Linked DNA regions of Oreochromis niloticus. The protein of the gene in region 2 binds, or shares a complex with, the protein of the main gene of each other region. Links are inferred from orthologs where the notes say so. Each region holds a gene or a part of one and is shown on either strand. Other genes may lie near its edges.

Region 1 (10,184 bases), on a different chromosome or scaffold from region 2:
TATTCCTGTCTAAACTTAAGACAATCTTGAGCAAAAGAAATCATCTGAGACATTAACAACTGTATTGTATACAGACAAACAGCAGGAGCTATATACAATAATTACACAGTGTTGCCCTGATGTTAGAGCTATGCCATTAAAAGCCGTTTGGGGTCCTCAAATGAATCTTGAGTTTAAAATGTTTATATATATCCATCTCATCAATATCGCCGATTCATCTTCTTGAACTTCTCATAGTGGTAGTCATCTGTAGCCTTCTCATTGTTTGGACGTTTGCGGTAGTTTGGTGGTGACGGAGCTGTGGATGAACAAATAAGTTCGAAATCAGATTAAAGGTTTCAAAAGATTTTGAATAAATCCCCACACAGACACACAAGTAAATGGGGAAGCCATTGAAAGTAAATTAACTGCAGTGACTGCAATACAGTTTCTATCTAGCTTGGATAAAACGAAGAAAATCCTGAAACTGAGAAATATTATTTTTGGAAATGCACAAGTGTCAGTGACTTAAAACAACAGTTTCACATTCTGACAGGTCTGGCCCACAGGACAGTTTTCCACTTCAACTTAGACTTTATTAAATTTTGAGTTGGCAATGTTTTTGAAGTGTTTTAGTCCATGCAGTCATTTCCACTACAGATTCATGCCTGTTTTTAATTTATTGTGTCATGAGGGTCTGAAGGTCACAGCCTTCTCCCTTCGTGTGCAGAGATTTCTCTTGATTCTGTGAAATTATTGTCATTATGTACTGGAGATGATAAAATCTCCAAATTCCTAAGATAATTTTCAGAAAACTTGACCTCTGACTTTGATCTCAAAGTCAGGGTCACCAATATTTGAACTCATCCAAGAGTTATAGTAGATGCACCTATGGTATCAATTTGAAAATCCAACATTGCTTCATTCTCAAGTTATCATGTTCACAAAGCCGAGTGTCCATACTGCCCGCTCGCCGAGGTAATTCCACCCACCCATTTTCTTTTGTTTATCCAGCTGTAAACTATTACTATGTACTGAGCAGTGAGCGTATCTGTAGAGTCTCTTACCCTCTGGACCTGGTTTCTCTGTGTCGCCCACACGCAGCGGTCTTGCTTTGGGTTCTTCTTTGTGTCTATGGTGTCTCTGCGGTGCATTTGCATCCTCATGATAGACTGAAAGAAAAAGTCAGTTTGTTTAGTATTATCTGCTTTAATTTAGGTGTGGAATATCTCGCTCTCTTCAGATTACTTACATCGATTGTGTTGGACGTAGTTAACAGCGATATTCGTGGGTACAAATGATGTGCCGTGGTCTTTTTTCTTGTTTCTTTGTTCTGCCAAAAGTTTTGCTTTTGCATCCTCTGTCTGGATGATGTTCTTTATCTTTGCACTAGAAAAGAAATTACATACACAAGTTTTATTAGTAAAGCTATTAATAAAAAGCAGTATTCGTTCATGCCATATCTCATGCAAAAATGCAGTTTTAGTCAAAAGACTCCTCTTGCTGATTCTAAAATAAGTGTAGATGATTACTAGAATATTCTCAGTACATACTCAATGCCAAGATCAACTTCAGGGATGCCACTCAGCATCTGATTAGACAACATCTCCTCTGTCTTCTTGGCAGAATTGACTCGGATGTTCTCGGGCAGCTCATACAGGTGGTCCTCTGGATTCTTCACCTTAACTTTCTGCTCCTCAGCCTCCACCAGGCCCTTCTTCTTTTTTAGTTCCGTCTCAATATATTTCATCCTGTGAGGATAAATTTATGATAAAACCATGTTGTAAACAAGTGTGAGGGTATCTCGAATTCTGTCCTAAATGCTGGGGATTTGAAATGTCTCTTCTATGTAATCTGTGCTATATCTAACTAAAGTGGAGGGAAAAGAATCAGAATCAAATCCCCCTTATAACTGGAACTATTTGACCAACACAAAATGCTGTCAATTTAAAAAAAATAAAATAAAATAATTTCAGCTACATTAGATTTTTACATGTCAGTGTCAGGAAAAAAAAGTCTGCTTTTATGATAGACTTACATGTTGGGTTGAACCCATTTCTTTTACTTAAGTCATTACATTCTTGTTACCAAAGTGGAAGAGGGTGAAAGCGTGTCTTTATACATAATATGAGTAAGGGGATGGGACAACAAAAAAGAAAAAAAGCACACATACATATCCGCATCCTCGTCTCTTCTGTTTGTCTCGGCTGAAAAAGACGTCCCCAGGTTGAGGTCTGTCTCATCTTCTGTCCTGAATACATAACATGAAATGATGACATATCAATGCACAGCGTAGAGCAATTATGCTAAAAATAGTTAAAAACTCACTTACATGTCTCTATTCCTGTCTTTCACTTTCTTCATGTCAACAATTCCCCCAGTCTTCAGTTTAAATGGGTCATTCTGTGAGGAATAATCAAAATAATTTTAATAAACGTAAGTTCAAAAACCAAAACACCTTGGTTAATGAAGCTATATTACAATTTTAAAAAAATATAAATTTTACAAAACTGACTACCTACCTCAATTTCAGCCTCTGGTGGAAGTTTTTCTCCAACCAACAAGGCGGTCACACTAAATAAAAGAAATATAAAAAACTGTGATTCGGTATCTGACTGTGTAAAACTTCATGTAAAGTAACAGGATGAAACGTGTTCGTAGTTTGATTTATTTACGTTACCTGATTCCGCTCTGTCGTTTGCGCAGACTTTGTAGCTCTTTAGCCTCTTCTAACTTATGCCTAAACATCCATGAAACACAAACGATTGCAAACACATTACCTGGGCAGCTTATATAAAATGCGACAACAAACTATCTGCGTTTAGCGATTAGCATTAGCATGCATAGCATTACTCTAAACGGCTTTTTTTTTATTCCTGTGGTTAAACAGACGGCTCTACCTGACTTCTTCGGTGGTCTCATCCTCCTCCACATCGGACGAGTCCTTTCTCCTTCTAAAATTTTTGCCACACGGCATTTTTTTTCAGATACTACACAAAATTATTTCAGACTTTTCTAGAAGCTGCACTTGAGTGTAGCTACTGCTGGGATAAGAGGGGGGACGATTTAACAAATGTACAATAATAGTGCGTCACGTCCCCTTATTTACCGCGCCACTTCCGTCCTGTTTAGATAACCATAACAAACATGGCGACTTACAGGCAGGTCGGCAGATTGTTGGGTATTTCAGGAAGACTTTCTCGTCCGTAAGTGGTTTTGTATTTATCTTTATCTGCATTGTTTTCTGTTTTTGCTTTATATCATGTGTGCATGAATGCGTCAGCATGTTAAGCATCAGGGTCAGGCTAATGGTAGCACGCTGGCTAAACGGCGGAGTGACGCAGACAGTCAGCTACAGAGCAGGGAGGTGTGGGGATGTTTTACTGCGTTAAGCGTCTCCACCAGCCGCTTATTAACACTTTAAAGTGGTCAGTATCAACCACGACAAACCTTTTCAAACTTTAAAAAATGTTTTTGGTTTTGTTGCATAAGTGCTAAAACTTTAGCCCGATTCTAATCTGCTTTTTCTGAATTATCCTGAGGTGTACACAGCGACACCGTTACTGTCGACAGTTCATATCCATAAGTTATTATAGTTAAACAAAAGTATTACATGTTTTAGTATCGCTTAGCTTGTTTTGTTTTTTTTGTTGTTGTTTTTTTTGTTTGTTTTGTTTTTAATTGTTAATGCTGCCTTATCAGGTTTTGATAGATATATTTATTTAGACCTAGGAAGTTTATAACTGTGCTGGTTTTACTAAATCTTGCCTCCAACACATGCCCTTAATTCAATAAGTGATTAAAAAAAAACAATCTAAAACTAAGACACAAGTTAAACTAAAACTAAACATTTTCAAAAAAGAAGTGAAACGAGGAAACTCACTTTGTAAACTAACTCAAACTAAACTGAATTAAAACATCAAAATGAAATATAAATAACAATTAATTACAAAAGGCAAAACTAAAATAACTGTCCATAAGAGACAATGTCTCACAATTACTCTGTTTCTGCTGGTGTTTCTACGGTCTTATACACTCAGACATGTCATTACATACGTCTTTCTAGTACTGGGTTTGACCCCCTTTGCCTTAAGAACTGCCTCAATTCTTCATGACATGACCAAAATGGTTGAGGAGTTAAGGCAATGTGAAGTTCACATGGTAAAATTTAGGCCGTTTGTTTGTTTGTTTGTTTGTTTGTTTGTTTGTTTGTTTGTTTTTTACCTTGTGAATTTCCTGTCCTACCATGATAAATTAAGTATCCCATTAAGCCCGTTTTCTCTTTCTTCTGGAACCATTTGAATTATGTCTTTAGCAAAAATGGAAATAGTTACTGTCATTTAAAGAGCACTTGTAAATAAAGGGTTAAAGAAGCAAGCCTTTATAACAGGCTAACTGTGGTCACAAAGGGATGGACATGGTCAGCAGCATGTCATTCCACTTATTCCCAATTTATCCTCAGATGGAAATAAGGGGCTCAAAGTATACTAAGAAAAAAATTTGCACGATTGCTACACTACCTGAAGGCTAAACCATTGATACAAGGCAGGATGGAGCCATGACAAATCCGACCGTACTATCCAAATATCGCAGCAGAAATTGAAATTCATCCCGAATGTACAGATCAACTGTAATCCTTTTCTTTTTGTTTATATGTACAAAGAAAAACTCTTAATAAAAAGACATTGTTTAAAAAAAGAAATTGAAATTCATGAGACCAGGTAGTGTAAATAGTATCTTGTTTCCTGTTCTTAGCAGACAGGAGTGCCACCCAGTGTGGTCTTCTGCTGCTGTAGCCCATCTGTTTCAAGCTTCAATGTGTCTTGCATTTGGATAAGCTCTTCTGTTGTAATAAGTTGTTATTTGCGTTTGACTTTGTATCAGCTCAGGTTCATTCTCATTTGACCTCTGACCTTAACAGTGTGCTTTACCCCAGAGAACCATTGTTCACCAGATATTTTCTCTCTTTCTGACAATTCTCTTTAAACATTAAATATGGTTGTTTAGGAAAATCCCAGCAGAACAGCAGGTTCTGGCACATCAAACACCAAATAAAAGTAACGGGCAGATTTCTGCTATTGTCCACTTTCCTTGCATATCATATACTGTGCCATTTTTCCCTGTAATTGTACTATGTTTGTCTGTGTTTTCTATTTTGTAAATCAAATGTCTTATAAAGAAAAAAAACATGTTTAGTTGTCAGTGAAATGATTTCTTCTTGGCTAAAGTAAGACAAATACTGACTGCACAGTGTAACGCTTTAAGCTCTGCATGACCCCTTTGGTTTGTTTTACATGTTGCCTTATGCAACAGTTTGTAATACCTCGGCTACAAATTATTAGTTGTACAAACACTGTGCACCAAATCATTTTAGTGGATTAGTCTCACCACACCTTCATGTTTTGAAGTCAGTACTTTACCACTCCAGAGAGGAAGGCATTAGATGAAGTGGGCTGACACGGGTGCTTGACATTTGGATTTCTAACACCATTCATTTATCAGTGTGAGTTGCGTTGTATTAAATGTCTTAATCTGCTGCATTTTTCAGTCTTGCTGTCAGTGGGTTTCAGAGCACTGGATTACACTTGCCTTCACATACCACAGGAGTTTCGAACAGATGGCCCTCAAACCCCATCTGGATTGTTCCTGGTTTGTATTCCTGTTGCTTCCCATAATAATCACATGTGTAACATTGAATGTGTTTATACTGGAGTGATTGTCTTGAACCCAATAGATGCAGCTGTTGTTTGAGCAGGTGCCTGTAGGACATGTGACATTAGCCTTGCAGTTCAATAAAGTAAAGAGTTGCTGCACAAAATAAGGACACCGTGTAATGAAAACAGGTGATTTATGTTGCATTCTTCTTCTTTGTTTTTTCTCTGCCCAGGAAGAACCATGTTTGTGCAGACCCAGGATACACCAAATCCAAACAGCATGAAGTTCCTGCCTGGCCGGACAGTTCTTGAAACAGGAACTATGAATTTTGCCGGCCCTCGTGAGGCACACTGCTCACCTCTAGCCAGGTATGTGAGATTACTGGTCTGAGAGAAATGCCTGATGTGAAACAGTCATCTTAGCATAGCAGATGTAGGTAAATGAGTTTAAATACATGCAGTCAGTGCGCTGGACAGTGCACAAGACAGGTGAATAACTGACTGGGTGGAGTGGATGGAGATGAGTGGGTGATTTGTGACAGAAGAAAAGCAGCAAGAGTGAAGGAGACATTTTACAAGATAGTAGTGAGACCTGCTATGATGTATGATTTGGAGACAGTGACCCTGACAAAAAAAAACAAACAAAAAAACCCAGAGATGACAGAGTTGAAGATGCTAAGATTTTTATTTAGAGTGATCAGGATGGACAGGATCAGAATGAGCATGTCAGAGGGACAGCTTAGGTTGAGCAGTTTAAACACAAAGTTGGAGAGCCAGGCAAGGCTGAGATGGTCTGGACATGTGCAGAGAAGTGATGGTGGATATGCTGGACAATGGGTTTTGAATATACAGCTTCCAGGCAGGAGGAAAATAGGTGGACCTCCAGAGAAGGTTGGTAGATGTCATGTAGGAGGACATTAGTGTGACAGTGGAGAACGATGGAGTGAAATGGAGGCAGATGATCCACTGTGGCAAAAACTAAAAGGAGCAGCCAGAAGAAGAATGGATTAATAGTTTGACTTCTGCTAGTCACATGACAAGATTGATTTACCGGTACATGCCTTGTTGGTAGGGCAGTAACCAAGGCAGCATTTACTCTTACCAAATATTAAAAAAAAAGGTGTAACCTCTGTTATGCACAGAAACAGTAGACCTCTCTTCTCACAGCCCAGCACGCTGCTGATTCGGATCCTCAGTGTAACGCTTTTACCTCTACCTAGCAATTTTGAACAGAAATATTATTTTCTAATTCTATTCCCATTAAAATATTATGTTAATAAATGTGACTGGTACCTGAACACAATTTGCATGTCTATATGTGTGTATTTATTTGTTACAAACATTGCACGACCTCCTGTATTAAGTGTAAAATTTATCTTTAAGTGTGGCATAATAAAACCTCAGTGATTGTCTTCAGGCAGCTGTTTAGGATCGATGGAGTGAAGAGTGTGTTCCTGGGCCCTGACTTTATTACCATAACGAAGGTAAAGCCATGTCCAGTTTGTAAGAATTGGTACTGGCACAGCTTGGCATACCACAACTAAGAATAGCTTGGTTTCTCGTCCTTCTTCATTTAGGCCGACCCAAATTTGGAATGGAAGGTAATTAAGCCTGATGTGTTTGCTACCATTATGGACTTTTTTACCTCCGGGCTTCCTGTTGTAAACGAGGACAGCCAGCCAAGCCCAGATACAGGTATGGTTTTCAAACAGCTGTGGCCTGCCCATTATCAAAACATCGACTTGGACAGAAATAACAAGCTGCTTTGAATGCTGAGGAACAACAATCTCTGCTTCTCCTTTCAGCACCATCAGATGATGACGACGAGGTAGTTGCTATGATTAAAGAACTACTAGATACTCGAATAAGGTAACTACTCATGAAGATGCAGTATGATCTCAGGGCCTGTTGCTTCCTGTGCTTTGTTTTTTTTTTGTTTTTTTTTGTTTTTTTGCCTAATACCAGTCAATGTTCTCACTCGGTCAGGCCAACTGTGCAAGAGGACGGGGGAGATGTTCTATACCGCGGATTTGAAGATGGCGTTGTTAAACTCAAGCTGCAGGGCTCTTGCACCAGTTGCCCCAGTTCAATTGTGACTTTGAAGAGTGGCATCCAAAACATGCTACAATTTTATGTACCTGAGGTTGAATCAGTGGAACAGGTTTGTTGTCTTTCTCTCATTTGATTTTAGAACACTGTTAATTTTTAAGATGTTAATCCTGACATCTTGATTTATATTTCATGTTCAGCACTTGAGCTGTAAAGAGCTTTTATGTATGTCTTCCAGGTGAAGGATGAGGAGGAGGAGGCTGCTCAAGTCTGAACCACTGAAATCATATGTACACATTCCTGTCTCTACCAGCTGCCGACTTTAATGCAAGCAATAGTTGCAATAAAATAATGTGTTTGATAGCACAGCTGTGTGAAAGAAACAATCACCATTATCCATTCAGATGTAATCTCATATGTGTTGTTTCCCAGATGTTTTCTGTACAGTGACAGTATTTAACAAGAATAGCCCAGTCACAGGAACAGCTGACTGAAATAATTTATTTATTACTCCACATCTGTCAAGCAAGCAAAGCAGCCTTTTAGGTTTAAAATCAGTATACTGTATGTGTATAAATAAAGTTTGTTATAATATTTTGTGACCATTTGTCTCCTTTGTGTACATAAGTGTTCCAACTAGTGGCCTAGTTGAAGATGCTCAGATTTCCATTGAGAATGACCAATATGGCCAGGACTAGAAATGAGTACGTCAGGGGGACACCTCGAGTTGAGCAGTTGAAACACGAGAGGACTGATTGTGTATATATTGAACAAAGGTTGTTGAAGATGTAGCTCCCAGGCAAGAGGAAAAGAGGACTTCAGAGGACATGCAGAGGGTTGGTGCGGCATAAGAGGAGGGTACCAATAAGGTGAGATGAAGGCAGAAAATCCAGGGTGGTGACTCATGAGCAGAGCGACCAAAAGAAGAAGGAAAAATAGAAAGTGGGTATTTTCCACTAAAATTATATGGACCATTTAAACTATGTAAGGCCAAAAACTATAAAAGGCAATTTTGCATATAAACATTTTCAAAAGAATTGGTGGATTTCTGAGGGACGTTGTACCTCAGTAATTCTAAAATTGCCAGAGCATACACAGGCTCCTGTCTTTTGAGCATTTTTAGCAATATTTTCCTTCCACGGCCAGTAGAAAGCACAGGCCTTCCATTGTGGGCCGATGTTGACTCTTGCAGCAGCAGGATCTGCAGGATGTTCCGGCTGCGAATCGCATCCTTATGCCACGTCAGAAGTGCGTACGTCTGTAGGCGCAACCGGAATCGACAGACCTCCTGACCAATCAGAAGACGCCATGGAAGAACGCGGTTGGCTATGATTCATAGGAACCATCGGGGGCGGAGCTTATTGACAGGCGTTCCCAGCTACCGACTTCAGAGTAGCTGTAACTGGCAGCAGAACTGTAGCCATGTGTGGTGAGTATTGCATTTATTCTATACTTATATTAATCGGCGCTGAATGTATGTGGTTCAGGTTTCACCAGAATAGCTAGCTGAATAGTTATTCAGTTATTGCCTTGTTAGTTTGAGGATAAATGCTGGAAATGAGCTAGGGGAGGCTAAAGTGAGTATTGTATGGCCAACATGATGTTGCTAGCCAGCTAAATATAAACCGGTCTGTGTTTTTTCGTTTTACTCTGAAAGCTGCTTGATCTGGGATAACACGATCAAGCAGCGGGGTCGATATTTGAGTGCGACATTAAAATGGTAACCTGCTTTACGACGTTATTACCCATCGAGTAAGTTTCCAGTAGCTAAATCTCTGTCTGTTACTGTGGTCTGTGGATCTAGATGACTGTGACAGAGACGTTTGAAAACGAGTTACACTCGTTGTTATTATGAAAAAAAACGAAAGTGTAACTAGATGAACTGTGTTCTTTGGGATAATACCATACCATCTTTATTTATAAAGCACTTTAACATATAAACCAGGGTTCACAAAATGCTGTACATATACAAATAGCATAAACAAAACATAAAATCAAATATGTTTTTAAAAAAAATAGTCAAATTGAGTCAACCCTTTAAAAGAGTGCCAAAGGCTTTAGTGAATACTGTACTATATAATGTTGGTGTATCGCTGTGAATTAACGTCAGTCTTTCACTGTCTACATGACGCCAGTGGTCATAATCAGTTTGATGCTTTCTAATCCTGTCCTATCTCCGCTGTCTCCATCTATCTCAGTCCTGTGATTGATACCTGACATCTGTTTTCTCTCACTGTTATCACAATCAGAGCACTTCCAAAACCAAACCACCTTGCTATCAATATCTCTTGTCACAGTAAGGTGCCACTTTGCTTAGGTTAACCATTAAGCACTGATTATTTGCAGAAAGGTCCCTTTTGTCTCGCTTTGCCCCTCAGTGTCCACCTCCATCACTTGCTTTTCTGAATGAATGCTCTGTTGAGCCAGGATATCCACTGGTTAGTGTTTAGCCCTGTGACAGGGCTGCACTTTATGCCCACTCCTTTTGCCATTCATGGTGTC
Region 2 (11,050 bases):
GCTCTCATCTGCTCAAACTCCAAACGCTCTGCCCTACAACACAAACAGCAAAGTACAAACGTGCATTACACGAGGAAGGAGAGGAATAACACATTTCATGAAAATATTTCTCCCAAAAGAAAACAGCGCTACTTCCAAATACCAGATGCAGTGTCTTTATATTTTTATTAAGTTTTCACACTTGCATACTCTCCTTACTGAATTGCTTATGCAAAGAAGAACATATCACCTGAGAGTTTCCTGTTTTTTCTCGTTTTCCTGTCTGAGTTTGGTGAGCGCAGCGTTCTCCTTCCTGAATCTCTCAATCTCAATCTCCAGCTCAGCCAGTCTCTCCCTGAGCTGTCTCGACTGGATCTGCTGGCCTGAGGGCAACAACATGCATACACAACTGATAAATAAGAGGAATGTGTGGTTTTTAACTGGCTTTTCTATCAGTTTTTCATTTAATAAAGTTGCTGATATTTTGTATAAGTTTATTAACATTCAATCAACATTAATTCTACTAACGCAATAACAAACAAAGAAAGTGTTTGTCTAACCTGTATCCTCCTCTGGCTTTTTGGACTCAACAGAAGCAGCTGGAGGAAGAGGGAGTGGTGCATTCTGGGCTTTTGGCTTCAGGGAGGGGAATAACTTTGTCATGAGCTGGGAGGCAGGAGGATGATCAGGCTCCAGATTGACTGAACCGATACCTGTGGCCTTCCCCAGCTCCACACCTTTGCTCACAGCCACCTTCCTCAACAAAGTCTTCTGTGGGGGAGAAATTTCTCTGGCTGTCGGTTTGGAAATCGGACTGAGCTCTTTGCTTTCATCGGCTGTGCCGATGGCAGTGTCCTCCAGGTCGTTCCATGTGTCGTCATCATCAAACACAACTCTCCCCTGCTCGCCGTCTTTGCCCTCTATCAGAGTGGAGTCCTCCCTATTGCTGTGGACACTCTTACTCTCCACATCATCCTCTTCAGCCACATCTGAAGATGAGTCCCTGAAACTATCCTCATCTTCATACGACCGCTTGTCATATGGTGGGTTAATAGGTGCAGGGAAGCAGAGAGAACTTTTGACCACTTTGTCGTCTCCACATTCAGAGCGGCTGCAGGGTGTCGTGTCAGAGATGTCATGTTTGTCCTCTCTCTCAATGTCCTGTGTCTCCTTAATGCTCTCTTTGTTCTCTAGTATATCATTTCTTGTCTTTACAAATGCTTCTGAGTTCAAAGAGTTGCTTGCTAAGCCACCTGTGTTTCCAACACTATTGCACCTCTGAAATACACCTTTAGGAGGTGATTTAATGGGAGTTGAAGAGAGGCGTCGCTGGTGGAGCCCCTTCACAGTCTGCAGCTGTCGTTGTTGATCCATCTGAAGAACCTGCAAGGAATGAGCAGAGTAATAGTTTTCTGGAGAGAGGGGTTATGTCTACATAACACAAGACTAACAGTAAAGTCCTGGAGAAAGGCAACCCAATCTGGTAATTTCTTTAGAAATGCAATAGCAGATTTTGACCACTTGAGGGCAGCAGAAATACTGAATCCCAACAACACAAACAAGGAAACAGATACTACCAACACAAAAAACTGTGTGACAAAAAAAATTGTAACAGTAGGCATCCAAACATTCCAGCATTTGAAGTGTTGAATTAAAGCGTGATGAGTTGGTGAGTGAAATAGAGCACCTTCATGACAAAGGAGGAGTTAGATGAGAAGGACAGCTCTTCAGCCGCTTGCTCCAGCAGCTCAAACTCTCCCAGCTCCATGCTCTCCAGCTGTCGGTCGCACTCCCATCGCTGGAGCTTCTTCTGAAAAGACAACTCGAAGGAATCCTGTATAACTGGGTCTCCTCCTTTAGAAACCCCTCCTGCTTCTGCTAATTCCCCTTTTGAACCACAGCTTTTTTCATTTTCAGCCGCCCCTGCCTGTCCTAACTTCCCGCCCTGTTTGGTTGTAGGACACGGCTGAACATTGAGACAAGGGGCTTTCACGGCCTGAACTGACAGAACTTTCCCCAGCTGATGTTTGGCTGGTCTGCCACCTGGATCAGTTTGGACAGTCTCTGGTCCTGCTGTGTTCTGTCTCTGATGACTACCTAAAACCTTTGTCCGTGCTACTTTAGTCACTGCTCTCATATCGTGGGGTGGTGAACTGAGTCCCTTCAACCGGTTCTCCTTGTTGAGTGTAGCAGTTTTACGCTGGACAGGAAGCCGTGGGGCACTGTTTGCGGCTCCTTTCTGAATATATGTGGGCTCCGAGTTGCTGCGAGAGATTACTCTGGCTTGAGGCGGTGGTGGTCTGGAGTCCTTCTTTACATCTGTTTTTTGGAACATAGCTTTCCGATTATTTGTAAATCTCGAAAGGCCCTCTCCTCGCTTCAAGAAGGCTCTCTTAGGAGGGGCTTGCGCAGCGTTGGCTCCATCTCGACTCTGTTGAAGGAATAGGACAAGATTTGAATTCAATGTAAATTGGAATTTTTTTAGTTTTTCCAGTTAAATAAAGTATTTTATTGCAAAATACAGACAGGCTCCATTTGTGCAGACATTACATTCCTATATCAGGTTGTCACCTGCAGAATGCAAACTCAAATGAATGGTTCATTATTGATACTTTTCAGCACTCGACACATCCTCTGACCTGTTGTTGCTGGGCAGACTTTAGCCTCTGCTCCTCCAGCTTCAGCTGCTCCTCAAGCAGCTCCTCAAATGTCTGCTTTTGACCCCCAATACCTGGCCTTATAGGTCTGGAGAGGAGGCAAACAAAACCATACTCAAACACTGATCTGTCGAGACAGTCTGATGTTAGAACTACATAAATACAAGACTATGTATTATTTACCTGTCGTGAAAGACTTTGTCTTCTGTTCTGCTGTCGTCTTCAGTCCTTGCCACAGCATTATGTTCCATTAACGTGTCATCTTCCTCAGAAAAATGGCTCGCATTGACACTGTGCTCCTCCTCATCTTCTCTGGAGTCCAGTGAGCCTACAGAAACAAAGCGGTTAACCACTGAAAACATGTGAACCGTGTGATGAAAGACAGGGCAAATCCACACTGGCTGTTCTATAGAAAACACAAATACCAAGAAACTGTGGAAATGTCTTACTCTAAACCAGGGATGTCAAACTTGTTTTACATCGTAGGAGACATACAGCCCACTTTGATCTTAAGTAAACTGGAAGAGTGAAACTATATGACAGATATGTCAAATTATAGAAAATGTTTTGGAAATGTATAGCCCAGACTGTCCTGTAGTAATAAAATATCATGTCAAATTTATTCTTTACTGTGGACTACCTGCAAAAAAAAACAAAATGCATTTCTATGGTAGATAGTGTCATTCAATTGTTTATCTATTAGTTACCAACTTTTGTGTAGTATGAATGGACATGGAAGGGGTCTTTATAAATAGGAAGAGCTGTAAAACCTATGAAAATACAGTGAAATGATTCAAATCTAATGTACTCCTTCACATTTCACACATGTGAAGCTGTGCAGTGGGCCGGTTTGGAGTCTTTGGTGGGTCGATTCTGGCCCCTGGGCCTTACATTTGAAACTTACATTTAAAATATTAAATATATCTTACCCCCTTCCTCATCATCACCCTCCTCAGGTGCTTGACCTTTGGGTAGCTGCTCGTGTCTGACAACTAGTGAAAGTTGCTGTTCTGGTTGACGGCCAATCATAGAGCCCCGTGGGACTCCATGGTGGTTTGTATCAGGACTGTAAGAGCACTGTGTGTAACATGACCTGTGGAGCGTGTCCTCAACCCACTCTGGTCCGGACATTTCTGAACTCTCTGTAAGATGGGTTATCATCACTTCAGTTTATGAAACAGGACACATACTTGCACACCACATTCACCCTGAACTCAAAATGATCACTTCGCAGTTGTTCGTGTAATTTCACTCTCTGACCTCCTGTGCAGTGCTGGGATCCATTCAGCGTTCCCAGTAGCTTCTGCTGCTCTTCCTGGAGATGAAGCAGCTCCTCCAGCTGATGAGCTTTTAGCTGCTCCTGCATGTGCTGCTGCCATTTCTTTAACTGCACACACATATTGCATTAAATTCTAATTCGATATGTAGTTTAGCTTAGCTCCCACTATGTTTTTCAGATGGTTTAAGATACATTTAACCTAGATGTTTCTGAGTACCACTAGTTTCAGCTCAGTGTCAATCCACATGCGCTGCACATACTGCCATTTGACATATAGTCTAAGTGTTTAATTGCATCTGTGTCCCAGCCAACATAATTGCCTTAGGGAAAAACTCTATTAATAGCAGAGAAACGTAAAGGAGTGTGTGTGATGGAGGTGCATTAAGTATACAGGAAGCAGTGATGTAATCAACAATGAAGTCCACGCAGGGCCCAAAATTTGCATATATTAGGAAATCTGTGGCATTATAGTGTCCAAATGTTCTTACATTATTAATAAATAAATTATAGGTTCATTTTTTCTGCTTTGTCTCACCCCTGTATCTATAAACCAGTAAAACTAAAGATCCTCCCAGTATCTGTGTCATGTATGTTAGGTATTGAAAGTCCATCTCCTCAGATGCACAGCAGGGCTAGTCACATATGCCAAACATATGTTCTTGGTTTCACTAAGAATTTATTTTCTACTTTTAACAACTTGATTGTCTCAAGTTACAGGAGACAACTGCTTCTGAAAAGCACTGATGTCCATACCTGTTCAAGCTTCATCATAAGGGGCAGATCCTGTGATTTGCTTGCCATCTCGTCCAAAGTGTCCAGCTGTCCATCTGCAATTCTCGTCGGGACAGAGTTTAGACCGTTCACCGGCCTGTCAGACTCAGTCATCTCTCCTCCTGCTGCCCGTCTAAATGCATCCACACCGAGGCAGCTGCTGTCTGTAGAAGCGGGCAACGGGGCAAAGTCGGAAGCGAAGGAATCGTCTGGCAACATGGGCGACGATCCCACGGCAGAGGTGTGCCGCAAGGGTCCAGCCAAATCCGGAGAGGGACTGAGGATCACTCCGGCTCTGGTGCTACTTGGCATCCATCGGGCCAACAAGTCTGCCTGGGAGTACTGAAGGCCAGCTGGAGATGACATGATGGCTGCGATGTCGCAGGCAGGATAGTCTAATCCGGGATCTAAGAGAAAGATTATGGTGACAGGTTAAGGGTTAATCACGCCACGAATAAACACCGTCCAACACCCTATAGCTGACGCCCAGGTCCAATAAAGCTATACATAGGGACGTTATATATAGAAAAGACATTGCCTTTTTAATACGAGATTGGTTTCCGTCCTGGTTGCTACACAGAAGTCAGTTCCAGATATTTGGTTACGAACAATAATCTTAACAATGTCTATTAAAAAAAAAACATAGGAGAGAATGGTGGCATTTATGACATGTGGCTCACGTGGAATGTGGAAGTGCTCTTTTCATTTTCCTCAAATGTCGCTTTATTTAAAAGGCTTGGCTTCCTCGTCGACACTCTCCCGTTATTGGCAGGCTGCGTTTTATTTATTTCATAAAAACTTTTCCCGGATGTTACACTGTAGTGACGACACTACAACATTAACAAGCATCGCAAAACACATCGACATTACCTGTAACTCAGGAGAAAAGCAGGTTTACTGTGATGAAATCGGGCGTTATACAAAGGCAACAAACAAAAAATTCGAAGCCTGCCGCCATATCAAAACAAAGCCCGCGAGACCAAAAAACCCAACGATGAAGTTGTTGTTGCATTGTGGGTAACGTAGTCTTACATCACGCTGGTCCTAACTGTTTTTTAAATGTCTTTTTATTTCATAGAAATTATAAATAATGATTTTTATATACAAAACATACGTTTTTTAAACAGAAAAGTCACTTCTGCATACATGTATTAAAAAAAAAAATTTCTACGGAACAGGTTTACGGAAGTTCTCGGAACTAGCTTATATTATATCCGGTTAAAAGTTAAATATATTTCACAATAACAGTCATCAAGCAAATGCAATTTGGCGTTTGTTGAGTTTATTTTTTTAATATTGTTATGTATTTAATATTTATCGGTATTTAATGTTAATACATCATTATATATTATGTCTTTGTCCATCATAATACAATTTTGCTAAATAACTCGGACCTTGACTTTTATACTGACGTTTGCAGAGCGGATGTGTTATCCGAGAGCTGCGATTGGTCTATACAAAATACAGCCCTTCCCTTCACGTTCTAGTAACTGAACTGAACTAAATGTGTTGATAAAATGGAAAAGGTTGTATGTAGTATACACGGTAAGTGGTAATCGGTCAGTGGTGATTAATTATGTGTTATAAAATGGTAAACTGGATATTGTGTTTGATTTAAAGAGGTTATATTTGTGTTTTTATCCTGAGGACAAAAAAGGTTTGCTGCCCACATAGTTTAATAATTAGTTTAACCTTCGGTTTAAATATTCCGCACTTCGAGTTTTTACGTGTTTCTAAAGAGAGACCTTTTTGTCACAGGCGGCGTGTGTATGTTAAAAACCGGATTAAAAGACGGACCCAATAAAGGCAAGAGCTTCTACGTCTGCGTTGACAAGCAAGGCTGTGATTTTAGTCAGCAAACCAGGTATTCCCCCGATGACAATAGGCCTCTGTATTTTCAGACCTGAACCATTCATTGACACTGTGTTTGAACCAAATAATAGTCTCTTAACTATTCACTGGCCATATCCTTACATTGCTTTTGTTCCATTCATCTCAGTAGCCAACTTTACTATACTCACTGGCCCTCTCCAAACATCTGAGGTTATTCACTGACATATTGTTAAAGTTATTGATAAACAAATGTGTGTGTTGCACAAATATTTGTTTTATTGATGTGAATTATCATATCTCTAGCATTTCACCATCACACTGCCTCCATCATGAAGATTCAATGGTGGAACTCCAGGCTCTCAGCTACAGTCAGCCACAGCAGGGCTATAGGTGTGTGTGTATGTATGTATTAGAAAGAAATCTGAAATTGCATGCTTATACGCAGCTTATATGACTAGATACCAGGTTGGTTAGACTCTGTATTTAACTGCAAATTCCTTCTCGTTTTCCAGGTTGTTCTACCGATGTGCAGTAGGTAAAAAAGCAGGCCAGAGGTGGTGTGGAAATGTACCCTGGACTGCAGTAAGTGCTGTCACAGATTTCCCAACACACACTTGTTTTTTTATATACATTCAGTATCTGTATCACCAACGGTTTCTGGCCATCGCATTGAGACAGTTATTAAAGATAGTTTTTAGTTATTAAAAATGCGGTTAAAGTTTTAAGTTAGTGTTCTCACTACTCCACTAATAATTAAGCTTGTATGAATTAGTCAATTCATTGGTCAGTCACTCAAAACAAAAGTAATCCTTACCTCTTTTGTATTTGTTGTTTTTTGTTGTTTTTTTCTTTAATGCTGTGTAACTGTAAATGTTTTACGGTTTTCCTGGCGTATGCATTGATTAATACATTTATTATGTAAACAATCATAAGTTGCAGCCTTAAATAGGATGTAGCTAAATGGTATGAACAAGTATTTTTCCTATTCTGAACTATTTACTTTTTTTAAACACCACATGAGGGATTAGCTGTTATTAGACACTTTTCTGTAAATTTCTATGACATATTTTTTTAAAGTGTGTTGTCTTCCATGATTGCAGCCGGAAACAGAAAAGAGAAGCCCTCTGTCTGACACACAGCTACAGCCCTCATGTCTTCCACCTGTACGAAACCCCTTTAAGGCACCAAGCCAGGCAGACAAGGACTCTGAGTGGAGAAAGTTGCAGAACAATAGACATGAAGAGAAAGAAGCAAGTCACAAGGCTGAAGGAAGAGCAAGTTATCAGAAAGAAAATGAAAGGCAACAAGGTGCAGGAGTGGAAGAAAAGGCAGATGATAAGCACAGGTCGTCGGATACTTACCGGGGTAAACAACTTCCACTGGGGATGAAGTTAAAAAAGAGAGTTTCAAATGAGGAGAACAACAGTCCCAAAGAAAACAGTGTTGAAAAAAGAACCGAGAAGATTCAAGACACGCCCGAGCAGAACCGCATCAAGCAAGGAGAAGAAGAAAAAGGCATTTCTTCCTCCAGCGTCAAGACTGTTCATTCTGAGTCATCAAACAAACATCAACTCAAAACAATCAATCAAACTGCACCAGTTTCTCACAGGAACTTGACTCAGCAACCATCTGATGCCGAAACCTCTCAGGTGAAAGAAACCAAACAAATACTAGAAAAGAGCAGCTGCACCCATGCATCCAGAGACTCTGACAGCAGCAGGAGCCCCATACCTGACAAACCAACTCAGTCAGAGTCCAGTCAGCCCAACAGTCCCGAAAACAACGACGATGATGATGATGTGGTACTGGTGTCTGTGAAGCCTGCTCCGCAGAAGACTCCTCCTGTTTCTACTGTCCAAAAGACGCTGACCAACTTCCCAGGATTCCAGCCAGCTTCTAACATCAAAAAGCCGGTGGAAAACCCCAAAGGGCTGCAGAACCTGCTCACCGTTCAGCTCCAGCAGAAAAAGGTGAGGGGAAGAGGAGACAACACATGTCATGCATGAGCACTGCATTGATTTAAAACCTAACATACAAATATTATTATAATATTTAAAAAAATATATTATATGCATGTCAAACATGTCCGCATTAAGAAATCTGTTAATTAACCGCCCCGATATACTCATATCAGTCACTCTTAGGCTGCGTTTCCCAAAACACCGAAGAATATTTGTAGTACTTGTAATTATATCATAGTAAATAATCTGCAAGCTCTCAGAATGTACTTTTCTCTTTAAATGTTAAAGTTGACACTGTTAGCTACACTAGCTGACAAAGTAGGCTGAGGTAGCTGTTAAGTACAGTTTAGTTTACAAGTCCAGCAATGTGATTTATCATTGGGCTGATATCTAATTGGCTGGTATTAGCTAACTGCTAACAGCCCATAAATAAAAGTGGGGGGAAAAAAAGACCAGATGGAAGAAACGCCTTTCAACCTTGTTATAAGTTGATCAGGACAGAGCATAAAGTAAACAAGATAATCAATGACCAGGCACAACTAATGTTAGGAAAATCTGTTGAGTTTTTGGAAAAGAATACAATTAAATGGCCAACTGTCAGTATCAGCATTAAAAATCCTGCATCAGTCGGGTTGTATCTTAATCGGTCAGTCAACTAGTACACAGAAAATTGGATTAAGAGTTTGCTGGTCAGTAATCAACATCCAAAATCAAAATTCACTTTACACATTCCAGTACTGTATACATCACAACAACAAATACTACAGAGCAGCTGGTTAGTTTAATACTCAGGCTTATGAGAGCTCTTTGTCTTCACTCTGTCCTCAGGCCACTCTATCTTCGGTAAACTTGGAGGCGCTACCAGATAAAGGAGACAGGTTGAGGACACAGGTTAAAGAGCTGGAGGAAGCCCTGGAGTCACTGAGCCTCACTGCTGCTTCTCAGCCTGGTAGGAGTCACACTGCACAATAGAAATAGATGGTTTATTCAACTGCTTATTAGTTATTCCACTATGTACCCCAGCTATACTCCCAGTTAAGCCCTTATGCATACATGGGCAAAACCTTGAGAGACTTTTTTTTGTTGTTGTTGTCTTAGTAAGTTGCTGTGTAATTTGATGTTCTTTGATATTCTTTCTGTCCCTGAAAAACACACGTGCAGGCGAAAGTGTAATAATAAAACCAACAAGGTTTTTTAGATTTGGCTGGATGTCTGTGTCTCCCTTTCAGAGTCTGAGAAAGCGTGTAGCAGCACTGATTCTGGTTTCAGCACCACTCAGATGAATCCATTCAGCCGGCAGGGTGGGACCATCCTGCTCCCTGCTCCTCCAGCCCCAGCCCTGCACCATCATCAGGCCTCTGGTGGCTCTCTGGGGCTCCAGCTGAGCCAGGGATACTCTCAGATGTATGGAGGTATGCCAAATAGGAAAGAGAAACACTTCTATAAAATGTGTAATCATTTTTTTAAAACTTGAAATTAATATAGATTGCTAATCACTCATCCTTAATGTTTCCAGCATACCCACAGGCACAGACATTTTATGGGGGTAGAATGACCGACGACCGTCTTCTGGCGGTGAAAAATGCCACCTGTGAGGCCATCGACCATCTCCACAAGTCCCTGGAGTCCTGTCCTGATGCCGAGGCTGAGGCCCCTGATCCCAAGGGTATCAAGGTGTTACACACTGCCTCACTCACTACTGTGGCAAAAAAAAAATCCGACAACAACGGCTACGTTTTCACAAAAACTTCAAAAATAAAGGAAACTCATAGCAGCACTCAGATATTCTGACTGATTACACAAGGCTTTAGTTAAACTGCAAGCTTTAGTGCTCAGCTCTGTCAGTCAATGGTTACATTTTGGTTACGTTTTAAGGTGTTGTGATATAGAAGATAGTGGATGAGAGACAACTCCTAGCAGGAGAGGTTGAACTGTTACACAAATAGTTTCACCAAAAAGCATGATCCAAAATTTCAAGATATGAAACCCCACTTTTAAATTCATCTATCAGCACTTTTTACAAGACACTCAGCGCCATCTTTACTCTGATTTGACTGCTCAGACTGAGGCTGTACTGCATAAAAAATACCTGGTGTCTGACTGAGTGCCATTTATTTACTCCTCATTTTAAGGATGGTTTTCTGCTTCTAGTATTGCAGCAACATTTTAAGGTCAGCTTTAGAAATAGAGCATCCAATTTTAGCTCAGAGTTTTACATTATTATGCTCTAAGAAATTGCATCTGAATATAATCTTTATGTGTCCATATATTTTAATTCGTAGAGTATTTCATTTTTGCATCAAAACATTTTCTTTTATTCACAAAACTGTCACAATTTAGAATGATACAGCCTATATTTCCTCTTTTGATTGGACGATGATGTTAGTCTAAGATTGCTGCATTGTGATTGGTTGCTCAGGTGCCTCTCCTGCCCCATCAGAGGAGAGCTTTGGCCTGGTTGCTCTGGAGAGAAACGCAGAGTCCCTGTGGAGGAATACTGGGTGAGTGTTTTTTCATGTGATTTTCTTCCTCTGTTTAAAGTTGGAATTAAGCCCGTGGGGTCTGTTTGT

Evidence for each region. The genes of interacting proteins can lie anywhere in the genome.
Region 1: ttf2 (region 2) and lg12h9orf78 share a complex: the UniProt entries of both Homo sapiens proteins name them as parts of the spliceosome. The link is inferred for Oreochromis niloticus from reciprocal best matches to the Homo sapiens genes TTF2 and C9orf78.

The regions. Positions count from the first base shown.
Region 1 is NC_031977.2:13,550,449-13,560,632, forward strand, and holds the start of lg12h9orf78 (splicing factor C9orf78 homolog), read right to left. Parts: upstream 3,036-10,184; 5' UTR 2,957-3,035; coding exon 2,880-2,956; intron 2,720-2,879; coding exon 2,660-2,719; intron 2,554-2,659; coding exon 2,502-2,553; intron 2,383-2,501; coding exon 2,312-2,382; intron 2,231-2,311; coding exon 2,153-2,230; intron 1,731-2,152; coding exon 1,533-1,730; intron 1,369-1,532; coding exon 1,232-1,368; intron 1,152-1,231; coding exon 1,047-1,151; intron 299-1,046; coding exon 201-298; 3' UTR 1-200. Other genes in the region: NFU1 iron-sulfur cluster scaffold homolog, mitochondrial, read left to right, coding at 3,127-3,185, 5,528-5,628, 5,867-6,002, 7,051-7,117, 7,211-7,328, 7,439-7,502, 7,620-7,794, 7,921-7,956; gfpt1 (glutamine--fructose-6-phosphate aminotransferase [isomerizing] 1), read left to right, coding at 9,105-9,111. UniProt on the Homo sapiens protein: Plays a role in pre-mRNA splicing by promoting usage of the upstream 3'-splice site at alternative NAGNAG splice sites; these are sites featuring alternative acceptor motifs separated by only a few nucleotides. May also modulate exon inclusion events.
Region 2 is NC_031987.2:27,397,116-27,408,165, forward strand, and holds the start of ttf2 (transcription termination factor 2), read left to right. Parts: upstream 1-6,103; 5' UTR 6,104-6,203; coding exon 6,204-6,231; intron 6,232-6,444; coding exon 6,445-6,550; intron 6,551-6,822; coding exon 6,823-6,921; intron 6,922-7,031; coding exon 7,032-7,101; intron 7,102-7,619; coding exon 7,620-8,489; intron 8,490-9,308; coding exon 9,309-9,429; intron 9,430-9,709; coding exon 9,710-9,892; intron 9,893-9,996; coding exon 9,997-10,154; intron 10,155-10,899; coding exon 10,900-10,981; intron 10,982-11,050. Other genes in the region: cpap (centromere protein J), read right to left, coding at 1-33, 230-362, 540-1,362, 1,667-2,410, 2,619-2,724, 2,820-2,964, 3,566-3,778, 3,897-4,023 and 1 more. UniProt on the Homo sapiens protein: DsDNA-dependent ATPase which acts as a transcription termination factor by coupling ATP hydrolysis with removal of RNA polymerase II from the DNA template. May contribute to mitotic transcription repression. May also be involved in pre-mRNA splicing.